Linked DNA regions of Macaca mulatta. The protein of the gene in region 2 purifies or fractionates together with the protein of the main gene of each other region. This does not show direct contact. Links are inferred from orthologs where the notes say so. Each region holds a gene or a part of one and is shown on either strand. Other genes may lie near its edges.

Evidence for each region.
Region 1: the proteins of USP4 (region 2) and EDC3 purify together in Homo sapiens (co-immunoprecipitation; 3 studies listed by BioGRID and IntAct, with this or other methods). This does not show direct contact. The link is inferred for Macaca mulatta from reciprocal best matches to the Homo sapiens genes USP4 and EDC3.

The regions. Positions count from the first base shown.
Region 1 is NC_133412.1:52,624,818-52,632,396, forward strand, and holds the start of EDC3 (enhancer of mRNA-decapping protein 3), read right to left. Parts: upstream 5,372-7,579; 5' UTR 5,203-5,371; exon of another isoform or gene 5,177-5,202; intron 2,009-5,176; exon of another isoform or gene 1,878-2,008; intron 1-1,877. UniProt on the Homo sapiens protein: Binds single-stranded RNA. Involved in the process of mRNA degradation and in the positive regulation of mRNA decapping. May play a role in spermiogenesis and oogenesis.
Region 2 is NC_133407.1:112,740,342-112,747,820, forward strand, and holds part of USP4 (ubiquitin carboxyl-terminal hydrolase 4), read right to left. Parts: exon of another isoform or gene 7,445-7,479; intron 6,861-7,444; exon of another isoform or gene 6,683-6,860; intron 6,375-6,682; coding exon 6,201-6,374; exon of another isoform or gene 5,821-6,200; intron 5,638-5,820; exon of another isoform or gene 5,547-5,637; intron 2,614-5,546; coding exon 2,455-2,613; exon of another isoform or gene 2,278-2,454; intron 793-2,277; coding exon 568-792; exon of another isoform or gene 115-567; intron 1-114.

The DNA.
Region 1 (7,579 bases), on a different chromosome or scaffold from region 2:
TTATTTTAAGATTAAATGAGATAATCCATATAGTGTCTACCACATAAAAAAAATTAGTTCAAATGTCTCCTTTTGCCAGAAAGAATACCGCTCACAGCTGAGATCCGGCCACTGCACTCCAGCCTGGGCGACAGAGCGAGACTCCGTCTCAAAAAAAAAAAAAAAGAATACCGTTCACATAGGGAACCTAAGTTACGGCCCTGGAAAATTAACACTGTGAGGGCCACCTCACTTCTCACCCAAACAAAATGACAAAAATACATGAATTCCCTCTACAACATCTTGGAAATCAAGTCCTGGTCTTTAAACTAGAATACACATATCCCTAGGGGGTACATAAAGATATGCAAGCAAGGGAATCGATTTCCACACTACTGTCATAATCCTGATTTGTGTGGATAACTAGATGATCAATTTTAAATTTTCAAGCATAAAATTTATTACTTTAGGATGGGTAGGAAAACTACAGCCCTAAGCCAGAGCTGGTCTGCTACCAATAAAGTTTTATTGGAACACAACTACACACAAATACTTGCATATCATCTACGGCTGTTTTCTGTTTTTTGGGGGTTTTTTTTGAGATGCAGTCTTGCTATATCACCCAGGCTGGAGTGCAGTGGAGCGATCTCGGCTCACTGCAACCTCCACCTCCCAGGTTCAAGCGATTCTCCTGCCTCAGCCTCCCAAGTAGCTGGGACTACAGGTGCCTGCCACCACTCCCAGCTAACTTTTGTATTTTTAGTAGAGACTGGGTCTGGCCTCAGCCTCCTGAATAGCTGGGACTACAGGCGCCCACCACCACACCTGGCTTTTTTTTTTTTTTTTTTGAGATGAAGTCTCCCTCTGTCAACCAGACTGGAGTGCAGTGGTGTGATCTCAGCTCACTGCAAGCTCCGCCTCCCGGGTGCACGCTATTCTCCTGCCTCAGCCTCCCGAGTAGCTGGGACTACAGGCGCCTGCCACCACGCCTGGCTAATTTTTTTTGTATTTTTTAGTAGAGACGGGGTTTCACCGTGTTAGCCAGGATGGTCTCGATCTCCTGACCCCGAGATCCACCTGCCTTGGCCTCCCAAAGCGCTGGGATTACAGGCGTGAGCCACTGCGCCCGGCCACATATTGTCTATGGCTGTTTTCTCACTACAGTGATAGTTGAGCAGTAATCACAGAAACCACTTGGCTCATAAAGTCTTTCATCTGGTCTTTCGCAGCAAGTTGACTTTTGCTTTAGGATAAAATTCTGTGGGAAAAGTGGAATGGATACAAGTTCAAAAAGAAAAAGGAAAAATATGTAATGGACAAACTCCCAAAATGATAAAAATGACCAAAACTAACTCAACTAACTGTATTATGAAATTGAATTAGTAAAATCTTCCTAGAGAGAAAAACCCAGGGCCATAGGACTTCACTGGTAAATTCTATAAAACATGTAAGAAATAATACCAATCCTACACAAACTCTTTCAGAAAACAGAGGAGGAAGGAACACTTCTCAATTCATTTTATGAGGTCATAATTACTCTGCTACTAAGGCCAAAGATGACATAAAAAAAAGGAAACCTCAGACCAAAATCTATCATGAACATAGTCACAAAAATTCTTAACAAAATGTTAGCAAATTGAATCCATTTACATGTAAAAAGTAGTAGATACATGACTAAGTAGGGTTCATTTCACAAATGCAAGATGGGCTTAAAGTCTGAAAATCAAGTAATGTAACAAGCCATGTTATATATTTCTTAGTCTGTTTCAAAAGTTTAGTTGTATGTTTTTAAAACATCAAATTGATACTGTATTTAGGTAATTTTATATTTATTTTTAAGAAGTCAATATTTACTTGTCAGAAATTACATCCTAAACTATTTAAAATTAAATACTTACACTATTTAAATCTACGATGAAAAGTTTCAGGTGCCAACTTAGAAGTATATAAGATCTAACAGATTCCCCAGTCTTTCAGACATTCTCAAGAAGAAGTTTTAAGACCAATAACCCGGCCTATACCTGAAAGTCTGAAATGACAAGGAGAAAAACAATCACTCATGCTAAAGCAACACCACCATATCTTCAGACTTTTGACTTCTGCCCATAAATTTACTCTTAGCACATCTAGATCCAAACCTAATATTCCAGGTACAAGCCTACCAATGATGCAACCTTTCTCATTCTACGTTTTGTATTTTCCTAACACAATATACTAATGCAGGTCACATCAGTTCTTCTCACAGCCTTCTTAACCACACCACTGACTGGTGATTAAAACACCAAATCTTTTTATTACAGGAATTCCTGTGAGGTTACATCTCCACCCTCCCCCAATAGGTATAGTTGATTTTTTTTTTGGACCCAAGCACAATTTCTCAACATTTATACAAGCTTCTTCCATTTCATTAAACAGCACTGAGTAAATATATTGAGATCTCTTCCCATTCTGGCAATCATCAACCAAATGACTCTTTCTTTACTTCATAAAGGCACCAAATCCAATAAGCAAACCTTCTAGATAAGGTTTCAAATACATGAATTGTATAAAGTGATGAAACCCCAGTTCAGATCACCAGAATTCCAGCTGCAAGTAGTGCTCACAAATCAAATCTCCATACACAGATGCTCAAACTCATGACTCCATCTAATTCTACCACAATCTGGCAAATTCCTCCATCTCACCCACTCGGTTATCATAAGACTTAGTAAGACCAGGCGCAGTGGCTCACACCTGTAATCCCAGCACTTTGGGAGGCTGAGATGGGTGGATCACCTGAGGTCAGGAGTTCGAGACCAGCCTGGCCAACATGGTGAAACCCCATCTCTACTAAAAATACAAAAATTAGCCAGGCGTGGTGACGCATGCCTGTAATCCCAGGTACTTGGAAGACTGAGGCAGGAGAATCGCTTGAACCTAGAAGGCGGAAGTTACAGTAAGCAGAGATTGTGCCACTGTACTCTGTCCAACCTGGGCAATGGAATGAGACTCCATCTCAAAAAAAAAAAAAAAAAAGACTTCATAAATGCCTTGCTAAAATTCTGACACACTATCATTATGGTCACTATACTCCTTTGAGACACAATTTGGATGTCCTGTCCTGCTGTTCTGGCTGAATTTAGGAGAAATCTAGTAAGCCCTTCTCTGAATAAGAAAAGAAAAATGAGGCTGGGCGCGGTGGCTCAAGCCTGTAATCTCAGCACTTTGGGAGGCCAAGACGGGCGGATCACGAGGTCAGGAGATCAAGACCATCCTGGCTAACAGGGTGAAACTCCGTCTCTACTAAAAAATACAAAAAAACTAGCCGGGCGAGGTGGCAGGCGCCTGCAGTCCCAGCTACTTGGGAGGCTGAGGCAAGAGAATGGCGTAAACCCGGGAGGCCGAGCTTGCAGTGAGCTGAGAGCCGGCCACTGCACCCCAGCCTGGGCGACAGAGCGAGACTCCGTCTCAAAAAAAAAAAAAAAAAAAAAAGAAAGAAAAATGATAATGTATTAATTACAGAATCTCACAAATGGCAAAGATTTTAAGCATTTTCTAATGTTGTTTTTCTTAGAGACAGAGTCTTGCTATGTTGCCCAGGCTGGCCTTAAGCAATCCTCTCACCACTGCACTCGGCCCTAGTCTAATATTTTTCTTCTCTTTTTTTTTTTTGAGACAGAGTTTGGCTCTTGTTGCCCAGGCTGGAGTGCAATAGCACTATCTTGGCTCACTGCCTCCTGGATTCAAGAGTTTCTCCTGCCTCAGCCTCCCAAGTAGCTGGGATTACAGGTACCCACCATCACACTCAGCTAAGTTTTATATTTTTAGTAGAGACAGGGTTTCACCATGTTGGCCAGACTGGTCTCCAACTCCTGACCTCAGGTGATCCACCCGCCTCAGTCTCCCAAAGTGCTGGGATTACGGGCGTGAGCCACAGTGCCCGCCCTTAATATTTTTCAAACTATACCTCACGACCTATTAGGGCTCAGACACAATTTAGTGCGTTGCAACCAATTTTTTTTTAGAATGCATCTTCTGTAGAAAGGGTAAGTAAACTTTTCATCGGTGGGTGGGGCTGTGTGTGTGTGTAGACACTGAGTGTGCAGGGGCACAATGAGTAATGTCGTGATGTAAAATATATCTAACTGCAGGTCACAGGTCAAAAATTTTGAGACACTTTTCTAGCCCCATAACCCTATGCCAAGGAAGCTCTACCAAGAATTTGGTAATAAACAAAAAGTCATGTTTTTACAACCATTTTTACATCATACAGAGAAACCAGCTAAGAGAATTTTGTGCTCAGTACACCTAATCTGCCATTCATTAAAAAAAAAAAAAAAAAAGATTAGGATCCATCTGGGTGTCCAGCTGAAATACTAAACTGCTTGGAGACAGCCATTTCTGTTTTGGTGGGGTGAAGACCTGTATTTGAGACAGCAGACTGAAATCGGTTTGGTCTGTGGCTAGGGAAGAAAAGAAAAACCATTCTGGGTCGTGAGTTCCTTATCTGTAACCAGAGGAGAAGATTGTTGGCTTGGTCAGTTGATTTTCAACTAATATCCCAATTGCAGAGTTAGGCGAAGCAATTGCTACTGGGAGATTAATTGAAAATCAATTGACCAAGCCAACAAGGGCTATGCCTCCCACAAACCAAAACACTTTAGCCACTCAACAAGTCAAGTATTGATAAATACAATCAATATCACACAAAGAGTACTGATAAGAACCACAGACTTGCACCAAAGGCAGAAATGAATCCAGGGATAACTTCCTGGGATTCAGAAGATGTGACCTGGTAAGTATAAATTTCTCAGGCATCCTCTTTTTCTACCCTCCAGTTCACCTCTGTCCTCAAGCTATTAGTCATGGATGTGGCACTGGCGTTCTTCTCTGCCACCATATCTCATTATGCAAAGGGAAACTGAGGCATGAAGAAATCAGTGAGCCAATGAACTACAGCAGCCACCAACAAGGCTGGACTAAGGGCCCAAGCAGCTAATGCCTCACGCCTCACACAATCCCCGTACTATTTAGAATCCTGCAGTCCTCAGCCTCCCACCTCAAACCAAACTCCTGCGGCCGCCCATAGTACCTGGCCCCCTGCGAACCCGATGAAGCCCCCAGCTCTTGCCTGCCTTCCTCTATAAAGGTCTATGAGGCCTGGAACTCCGAAGCCTAAAGCAAGCCCGGCATCCCCCTCCCACGAGCGTCCACACACCAGCAGCCTCTTCCCTTCGCTCCCACCTCCGCCCCGACGGGCCTGGAGCTCCTCCGCACACCACACCAAGCCGACCACGCAATACCAGAGGACCCACAGAAGAACTCTCTCCACGCCCACCCCTACAGCTTCGGCCGTCACCGCCGCCGCCGCCGCCGCCGGAAGCGCCCCCACGTCTCCACGCCACCGCCGTGAGGTCACTTCCCGCGCGACACCTTGGAATCCAGGGCAAGCAACTGAGGGGCGTGGCGCCCGGGAAATTTAAGAGGTTGGAAGAACGTCCCTTCGGCCTTACAGAATTGCGCTTGCGTAGCCATTTTGCTTTCCACGCTTACTTACGTCCTATGCCATCTTGGCTGAAATCGGGGCTCTACCCACGACTCCTCGGCCTCGATGCCCGGGCCCCGTGTTGCAGGCTCGATGCAAAGCCTCCGCTTCCCCTCCTGTTCCCCCAGCGCCAATCGGAGAGCTGGAGCGGAGGACTTTCAGGGAGGCCCCCTCCGTGCTATACCGCAGCTGTGGGACTCAATAAGTGGGACAACCCCCTGATGGATTAAAGAAAACAAGATATTTCTGCCGTGGTCGATCTTCAAAGCGTTATCAGCTTCAGCCCATTTGGGGCTTAGAATAGCCAGTCCATGCTTGACTGCTCTCCCTTCCCCCATATTCAGTACACGGGAAAGTACTGCTCTTCTACCCTTGGCATTTTAGAGTCTTGATTTGTAGGGAGAGGGGAAAGCATGTGTTTGGGGCCAAGACAGTGTAATGAGGAATATTGCATGGCCTTGAAGCCTGACACCTGGTTTGGGAACCACTACTTGGGCGAGTAGCATAGAGTAGGGTAGCAGTTCCAAACCTAGCTCTACAAAATCAGTTGAAGAACTTTGTAAAATTTCCACTTTCTAGGGGACTACTTCGCCCTCCCCATCCATCACCAGAGATTCCCTAGGTCAGAAGGGGTCTTTGTCTTTTACTGTTATTAACCAACACTTCTAGAGCAGTTTTTGGTTCAGGGCAAAATTGAACAGAAAGTAGAGAGTTCCCATATATCCCCTGTACACATAGGCACACACACACACAACTTGTCCCCTTATGGACATCTTGTGCTACAGTGGTACATTTGGTAACAATTGATGACCCTACTTTGACACATCATTATCACCCAGAGTCCATAGTTTACAATAGCATTTTCTCTCGGTGTTGCACATTCTGTGGGTTTTGACAAATATATAATGACATGTATCCACCATTATGGTATCATCCACGATAGTTTCACTGCCCTGAAAATCCTCTGTCCTCTGCCTATTCATCCTTCTCAGTCCCCTGACCACTGGCAACCACTGCTCCTTTTACTGTCTCCATAGTTTTGCCTTTTCCAGAATCGCATATAGTTGGAATCATACAGTATGCAGCCTTTTCACATCGGCTTCTTTCACTTAGTAATATGCTTTTAAAGTTCTTCCATGTCTCTTCATGGCTTGATAGCTCATTTCTTTTTTGTGCTGAATAATAATATTCCATCGTCTGGATGTGCTGCGACTTATCCATTCACCTGCTGAAAGACATCTTGGTGGCGTCCAAGTTTGGGCAATTATGAATAAAGCCCCTTTACATCATGTGCAGATTTTTGTGTAGACATGAGTTTTCAATTCATCTGAGTAAATCCCAAGGAGTGCAACTGCTGGATTGGATGGTATATTTAGTTTTGTGAGAAACTACCAAACCGTTTTTCAAAGTGGCTGCATCATTTTTTGCATTCCCACCGGCAGTGAATGATGGTTTCTGTGCTCCACATCCTTGTCAGCATTTTGTGGTGTCAGTATTTTGGATTTTGGCCGTTCAAATAAGTGTGTAGTAGTATCTTATTGTTTTACATGCAATGCCCTAATGACATATGCTATTGAACATCTTTTCATATACTTACTTGCCATGTGTATATCTTCTTTGATGAAGTGTTTGTTCAGGTATTTTGCCCATTTTTACATTGTGTTATTTTCCTGTTGCGATTTAAGAGTTCTAGGTATATTGTAGATAACAGTCCTTTATCAGATATGTCTTTGATAATATTTTCTCCTAGTCTGTGGCTTGTCTTCTCATTCTTTTGAAGAGCAGAAGTTTTACATTTTAATGAAGTCCAGCTTATGAATTATATTTTTCACAGATTATGCTATTGATATTGCCCTAAAAAGTCATTGCCATTCCCAAGATCAGTTAAGTTTTCTCCTATGTTGTCTTCCAGGAGTTTTATAGTGTTCATTTTCAATTTAGGTCTACAATCCATGTAGAAGGTGCAATGTCTTTTTTTTTTTTGAGAGTCTCACTCTGTCGCAGAGACTGGAGTACAGTGGCACAATCCCAGCTCACTGCAACGTCCGTCTCCTGGGTTGAAGCAGTTCTCCTATC
Region 2 (7,479 bases):
TTCAAGAACCACTTAGTAAATCAGGTTACTTTAGTCGCGTGAATGAAGTGGCCAAAAAAGTGACAGAGGCCAGGTGCGATGGCTCACACCTGTAATCCCAACACTTTGGGAGGCCAAGATGGGCGGATTACTTGAGGTCAGGAGTTCTGGCCAACATGGTAACATCCTGTCTCTACTATGTCTCTACTAAAAATACAAAAATTAGCTGAGCATACAGGTACACGCCTGTAATCCCGGCTACTGAGTGGCTGAGGTAGGAGAATCGCTTGAACCTGGGAGGAAGAGGTTACAGTGAGCTGAAATCGTGCCACTGCACTCTAAAATGGGCGACAGAGCAACTCTGTCTCAAAAAAAAAAGTGACAGAGAAGCAAAGAAGCCCCAAAGACCTTCACAATAGGCCTTAAACGATATGGGATTACATGAAGGTCTGATGGAGGCCAAGGGCCCATACCCAGGCAAGTACCAAGGGGACTCAGAGGCATCCAATGCAGCAGATAGGAGCAGTCCCACTGGGATCTGGAGACCACTTGCAGTGAGGGGTGCCATGAGGGTGTGGATTCTGTTACCTGGGTAGGTCTGCAGTGAGGGTCAGCAGGAACCAGGAAAACCTCCATAACTCGATCTTTCTTCAAGGGCAGTGGGAGCGTTAGATAGCAAAATGGGTCAAAGGTCACCGAAACCTTAGCACATTCTGGACAAACCAAAGTAGATTTGAAGAGGCCATGGAAAGTATCCACAATCACAGAATCATTCCTCAACCTGTGATTCTCCCAGGCTTCCTTTGCCACCACCTGCATGAAGGGATAAATAGGACATTCTCAACACCACTCAGTCCCTTGCCCCTGCATCCAGAATGACTCACAGCAAACCTGGAGATGAATCAGGCGGCAATCTGTACAGCCAAGAGCTTGATCCAGGACAAGCAAGGCCAGGACTACTCTTAGTGTATCATACTCATACCACATGCCAGCTCTACACCCAATCCCCACCCCAACACACATATATATATTTCATATATATGTTTATATATATATTTCAAATATATATTATATTGATTGATTGAGACATGGTCTTGCTCTGTCGCTCAGGCTGGCACGACCATGGTTCACTACAGCCTCGAACTCCTGGGCTCAAAGCGATCTTCCTGCCTCAGACTCCCAAGTAGCTAGGACTATAGGCACGCCCCACCATGCCTGGCTAATGTTTTTTTAGTTTTGGTAGGGATGGGGGTTTTACTATGTTGACCAGATGGTTCTAGAGCTCCTGGCCTCAAGTGATGCTCCCACCTCAGCCTCCAAAGTGCTGGAACCGCAGGGGTAAGCCACTGTGCCTCGTTGTAATCCCCACACTTAATAAGGTTGGCATCATAGGACCTATTGGAAACTAGGGGTTTGTGTGTCCTGATAGGAAACAGAACCCGGAGGACACTATGGGTACAGATACATGGCCAGGACAAGGAAAGTCCCCCTATATGTTTCCAGTGATCTAAAGTAGTTTTTGGCCGGGCACAGTGGCTCATGCCTGAAATCCCAGCACTTTGAGAGGCCGAGGCAGATGGATCACCTTAGGTCAGGAGTTCAAGATTAGCCTGGCCAACATGGTGAAATCCCCTCTCTACTAAAAATACAAAAATTTGCCGGGTGTGGTGGTACATGGCTATAGTCCCAGCTACTCAAGAGGCTGAGACAGGAGAATCGCTTGAACCCGGGAGGTGGAGGATGCAGTGAGCGAGATCGCATCATTGCACTCCAGCCTGGGTGACAGAGTGAGACTCCATCTCAAAAAAATAAACAAATAAATTTTAATAATTTTATCTATACTACAGTTCAGCTAACTCACAGTTTTTCTAAGAAGATCTAAATTTTACTTTAAAGCATTCATATTGATTATCCCAATGTGACAGGGCAGCTGAAATACTAAAATCCTCTTGCACTGATCAGAAAATCAAGGTAAAAAGTATAAATGTCCTAATGATATTAATAACAAATTAAGTAATCATAGATAGCTTTTATTGTGAGCGATAACAATCTTAGGGGTCCTCACTACAGGCACTTTACAGTTTTCAGAGTGTTCTTAGTCCCTAGTTCACCAGTGAAATATCAAACAAGCTCACTCAAATTTGAAAAAGCCCAAGAGGAAGCATTAGGAGTAACTAGGGGACAGTGGCTCACGCCTGTTGTAATCTCAGCACTTTGGGAGGCTAAGGTAAGAGGACTGCTTAAGCTCAGGAGCTGGAGACCAGCCTAGACAACATAGCAAGATTTTGTCTCTATTACAAAAAAAAAATAGCAGTAACTACAGTTAGCCCTTTTCTGACCAGAGACCATATACCTATAACTAGCTACAGTGAGAAGCAACCAGGGCCCTGGCAGCAACACTCAAAAGACCAGAAGAATATCCCTGCACTCTCAATATGAGGCAGCTTCTTCGTTCAGACATCATTAATGGCATACCGCGTCTGGCCGCCCATTGGCATCCTTCAGCTCCAAGTAGGGCTTCTTCTTTACTCGGTTCAGATCTTCATGCAATCCATCTAGAAGAAAGGCTAACAGCTCCTGAGAATCTTGTTGCTGGTAGCCAGAAAATTGAGGAGCAAAACGTCCCACTTGAGTCTACAACAAAAGCAACTGCATCAGAAGGCATAATATGTAAAGAACTAGTTAAATCAAATGAGAACTATCATCAAAAATAGCTTTGAGGAGTTAGCTGGGTAGTGAGAGAGAACACTTGGTTGAGTAGTCCAATTAACTCCTGAAGAGCCTACAGGAGGCCAGTGGTTCCCACCAGAGAGAAGGCCTAGATCAGAGAGCCAGGAGGATGAATCTGGAACCTGGGCCACTACCTTAAGTCCTAGGGAGGAAGGGTGGGGTATCCTGAGTAACCACACCCAAGTACTGACATGAATCCCTCTCCAACATGTCCTTCTTTGGTTCAGAGTCTTAAACTCCATAAGGACATTACAAACGATACTTTCATCAGCTGGAGGAATCCTCCTGTACATAACAGCCCTCAGGTCCCTAAATACTGTCTGTCCAGTATTATTCTCCACCAGTTATTCTGAGAGTATGGTCCCTAGCCAGCAGCATTAGTATCACCTGGGAGCTTAGTAGAAATGCACATTCTCAGGCCCCCACAGCAAACCCATTCAATCAGAAACTCTGCGGATGGGTCTAGCAGTCTATGTTGTATTAAGCACTCCCAGAGACTGTGATGTATCCTATGGAGAACCAGCCAGGCACGGTGGCTCACGCCTGTAATCGCAGAATTTTGGGAGGCTGAGGCAGGCAGATCACCTGAGGTTGGGAGTTCAAGACCAGCCTGGCCAACATGGTGAAACCTGGTCTCTACTAAAAATACAAAAATTAGCTGGGCATGGTGGTGCACACCTGTAATCCCAGCTACACGGGAGGCTGAGGCAGGAGAATTGCTTGAACCCAGGAGGCGGAGGCTGCAGTGAGCCAAAATCGTGCCAGTGCACTCCAGCCTGTGCGACAGAGCAAGACTCTGTCTCAAAAAAAAAAAAAAAAAAAAAATGGAGCACCACTGTTCTACACCTGTTCTCTAATACCATAGCCACTAGCCACATATGGCAACCTAAATTTATATTAATTACAATTAAAAACCATTAAAAATTCAGTTCCTTGGTCAAATGAACCACATCTCAAGTGCTCAGAGGTGCTTGAGCTGGTGGCTGCCATAACACAGTACAAATATATAACACATCCATCACTGAGGAAGCTCCACACTTCCCTAATATCCCTAAACACTACCTTCTAGTTGTTTATTTACATTAGCTTCAGCACAGTGTGTTGCCACCCAATTCTTTTTTATTTTTTTATTCTGGGACAGGGTCTGTGTCGCCAAGGCTGGAGTACAGTGGCACAATCACAGCTCACTGCAGCCTTGACCTGTCAGGCTTAAGTAATTCCTCCCACCTCAGCCTCCCTGGTAGCTGGGACTATAGGTACATCACCATGTCCAGCTAATTTTGTTGTTGTTTTAGAGACAGAGTCTCGCTCTGTTGCTCAGGCTGGAGTGCAGTGGTGCGATCTCAGCTCACTGCAACCTCCACCTCCCAGGTTCAAGCAATTCTCCTGCCTCAGCCTCCTGAGTAGCTGGAATTACAGGTGGGCACCATCACACCTGGCTAATTTTTGTATTTTCAGTAGAGACGAGGTTTCATTATGTTGGTCAGGCTGATCTCAAACTCCTGACCTCGTGATCTGCCCACCTCAGCCTCCCAAAGTGCTGGATTACAGGAACGAGCCACCATGCCCGGACTTTTTTTGTTGTTGTTGTTTTTTCTTTGAGATGGAGTCTCGTTCTGTCACCCAGGCTGGAGTGCAGAGGCACGATCTCGGCTCACTGCAAGCTCTGCCTCCCGGGTTCATGCTATTCTCCTGCCTCAGCCTCCCGAGCAGCTGGGACTACAGGCGCCTGCCATCACACCTGGCTAATTTTTTTTTTTTTTTTTTTGTATTTTTAGCAGAGACAGGGTTTCACCATATTAGCCAGGATGGTCTCGATCTCCTGACTTCGTGATCTGCCCGCCTCGGCCTCCCAAAGTGCTGGGATTACAGGCGTGAGCCACTGCGCCTGGCCAACTTTTTTGTTGTTTTTAAAGAAACAGAGACTTGATCAGGCGCAGTGGCTCATGCCTATAATCCCAGCACTTTGAGAGGCTGGGGCAGGCAGATCCCCTGAGATCAGGAGTTTGAGACCAGCCTGGTCAACATGGCGAAACCCCATCTCTACTAAAAATACTAAAATTAGCCAGGCATGGTGGTGCACACCTGTAGTCTCAGCTACTCAGGAGGCTAAGGCATGAGAATCGCTTGAACCCGGGAGGTGTAGGCTGCAGTGAGCCAAGATCGTGCCACTGCACTCCAACCTGGGCAAGAAGAGAGTCAGACTCTGTCTCAAACAAAACAAAACAAAAACGGAGTCTCACTATGTTGCCCAGGCGGGTCTCAAACTCCTGGGCTCCAGGGATCCTCCCACCTCAGCCTTCCAAGAAACTGAATTTTTATAGTCTGGCTTAGGAAACTGACCATTTAAATACTGCCATCACAGAATACAGCATTCTGAGGAATCAGCTTACAAATAACTTCTGAGACATCCCCAACCCAGAGGTGGGCAGTGAAGACACTTAGGGGTGTGCTAAATGACTGAATGACAGGAAAAAAAGGGTTTGACAATGTGGTACTTTTAGTCTCAGATTCCATCTTTTTTTTTTTTTTTTTTTTTTTTTTGAGATGGAGTCTTGCTCTGTTGCCTAGGCTGGAGTGCAGTGGTGTGATCTTGGCTCACTGCAATCTGCATCTCCCAGGTTCAAGCAATTCTCCTGCCTCAGCCTCCCACGTAGCTGGGATTACAAGTGTGCACCACCATGCCCAGCTAATTTTTGTATTTTTAGTAGAGAAGGGGTTTCACCATGTTAGCCAGGCTGGTCTTGAACTCCTGACCTCAGGTGATCCACCCACCTTGGCCCCCCAAAGTGCTGAGATTACAGGCGTGAGCCATCGTGACTGGTCATCAGATCCCATCTTTTTTTTTTTTTTTTTTTTTTTTTGGAGACGGAGTCTTACTCTGCCACCAGGTTGGACTGCAGTGGCGCAATCTCAGCTCACTGCAACCTCCACCTCCCAGGTTCAAGTGATTCTCCTGCCTCAGTCTCCCAAGTAGCTGGGACTACAGGCATGCGCCACCACGCCTAGCTACTTTTTGTATTTTTAGTAGAGACGGGGCTTCACCATGTTGGCCAGGATGGTCTCAATCTCTTGACCTAGTGATCCACCTGCCTCGGCCTCCCAAAGTGCTGGGATTATAGGCGTGAGCCACAGCGCCTGGCCCAGATCCCATCTTAATCCCAAAATGCAACAAAAGGAATGCCTCATAACAACACTAAACCACTCTCCCCAAAGTGGGAAAAAGGAAGTACAGGAGTGTATCCTTTACCCGAAAATCTGAAATCCAAATGCTCAAAGATCCATAACCTTTCTAACACTGACACGATATTCAAAGGAAATGCTCATTGAAACATTTTAGATTTTGGAATGGGGATGCTGAACTAGTAAGCGTAATGGAAATACTGTAAAAAAAAAAAAACCCTAAAAAACCTGAAGTCCCAAAACATTTCTGGTCCCAAGCATCTATATACAGAGATACTCAACCTGTATATATATATATGTCTACCTACTTTGAACATGCGAGGTGCCACATGGGCATCCCTTCCAGACCACATCTGCTTAATGAGCTCTGCATAGGCTTCTGCAATTTCCCCTTTCATCCCCAGAGGGTTGTCTCTGTTGATTTCGGCTTCATACTCATCTTTGAGAAAGTAGTCAGTCAGTGGTGCAGTGTTGCTCAAGCACTGAAACAGAACATGATGAGGGCTTTACATACCTTCTAGACAGTACCAGAGATACAAGATAAATCAAGTTCTAAAGGGTCACTGAGGGACAACCCCAACAAAATGAGGCACTCAGGAGATTCTCTGAAGGCTCATGACGGACAGTAAAGCACAGCCTCAAGGAGGTCAAGCTGGTGGACCCCTCGCAGCTAATCTCTGAGGGACGTGGTCTTAGAGGATTGCAGATGCATTGGCTAAGATTTTGTCTCTGAAAAAAACTACCTTAGGAAAAAAGCTGAATAAACAAATAATTCTTGTTTAATGAAAAAGTTTTTTTTTTATTTTTTTTGGCTTTTTTTTTGAGACAGAGTTTCGCTCTTGACGTCCGGGCTGGAGTGCAATGGCGTGATCTTGGCTTACTGCATCCTCCACCTCCTGAGTTCAAGTGATTCTCCTGCTTCAGCCTCCTGAGTAGCTGGTATCACAGGTGCTGGCCACCACACCCAGCTAATTTTTGTATTTTCAGTAGAGATGGGGTTTCACCATGTTGGTCAGACTGGTCTCAAACTCCTGACCTCAGGTGATCCACTCGCCTCAGCCTCCCAAAGTGCTGGGGTTACAGGCGTGAGCCACTGCGCCCAGCCTTTTTCATTAGTTTCTGTTTTTACTGCTATTATTTGTCTCCTTCTACTTCCTTTGGGTTCTTTCCCCTAGCATCATGAGATGGAAGCTTAAATCGTGAAATTTTAACCCTTTTTGCCCTAATATTTACATTTAGAACTTTAAAACTCCTCATCATTATCCTCACTCAATAGCTAAGGAAAACTGAGGGTACAAAGACTTGGAAAAACTTGTCCATGAAAAGCCAAATCACACCTCTTCTTTAGTACTAGGCTATTTCCACGTCACCACAAGAGGAAAATAACTTTTTTTTTGTTTGTTTGAGACAGAGTTTCGCTCTTGTTGCCCAGGCCGGAGTGCAGTGGCACGATCCAGGTTAGCCAGGATAGTCTCGATCTCCTGACCTCGTGATCCACCTGCCTCGGCCTCCCAAAGTGCTGGGATTACAGGCTTGAGCCACCGCGCCTGGCCTAATTTTTGTATTTTTAGTAGAGATGGGGTTTTG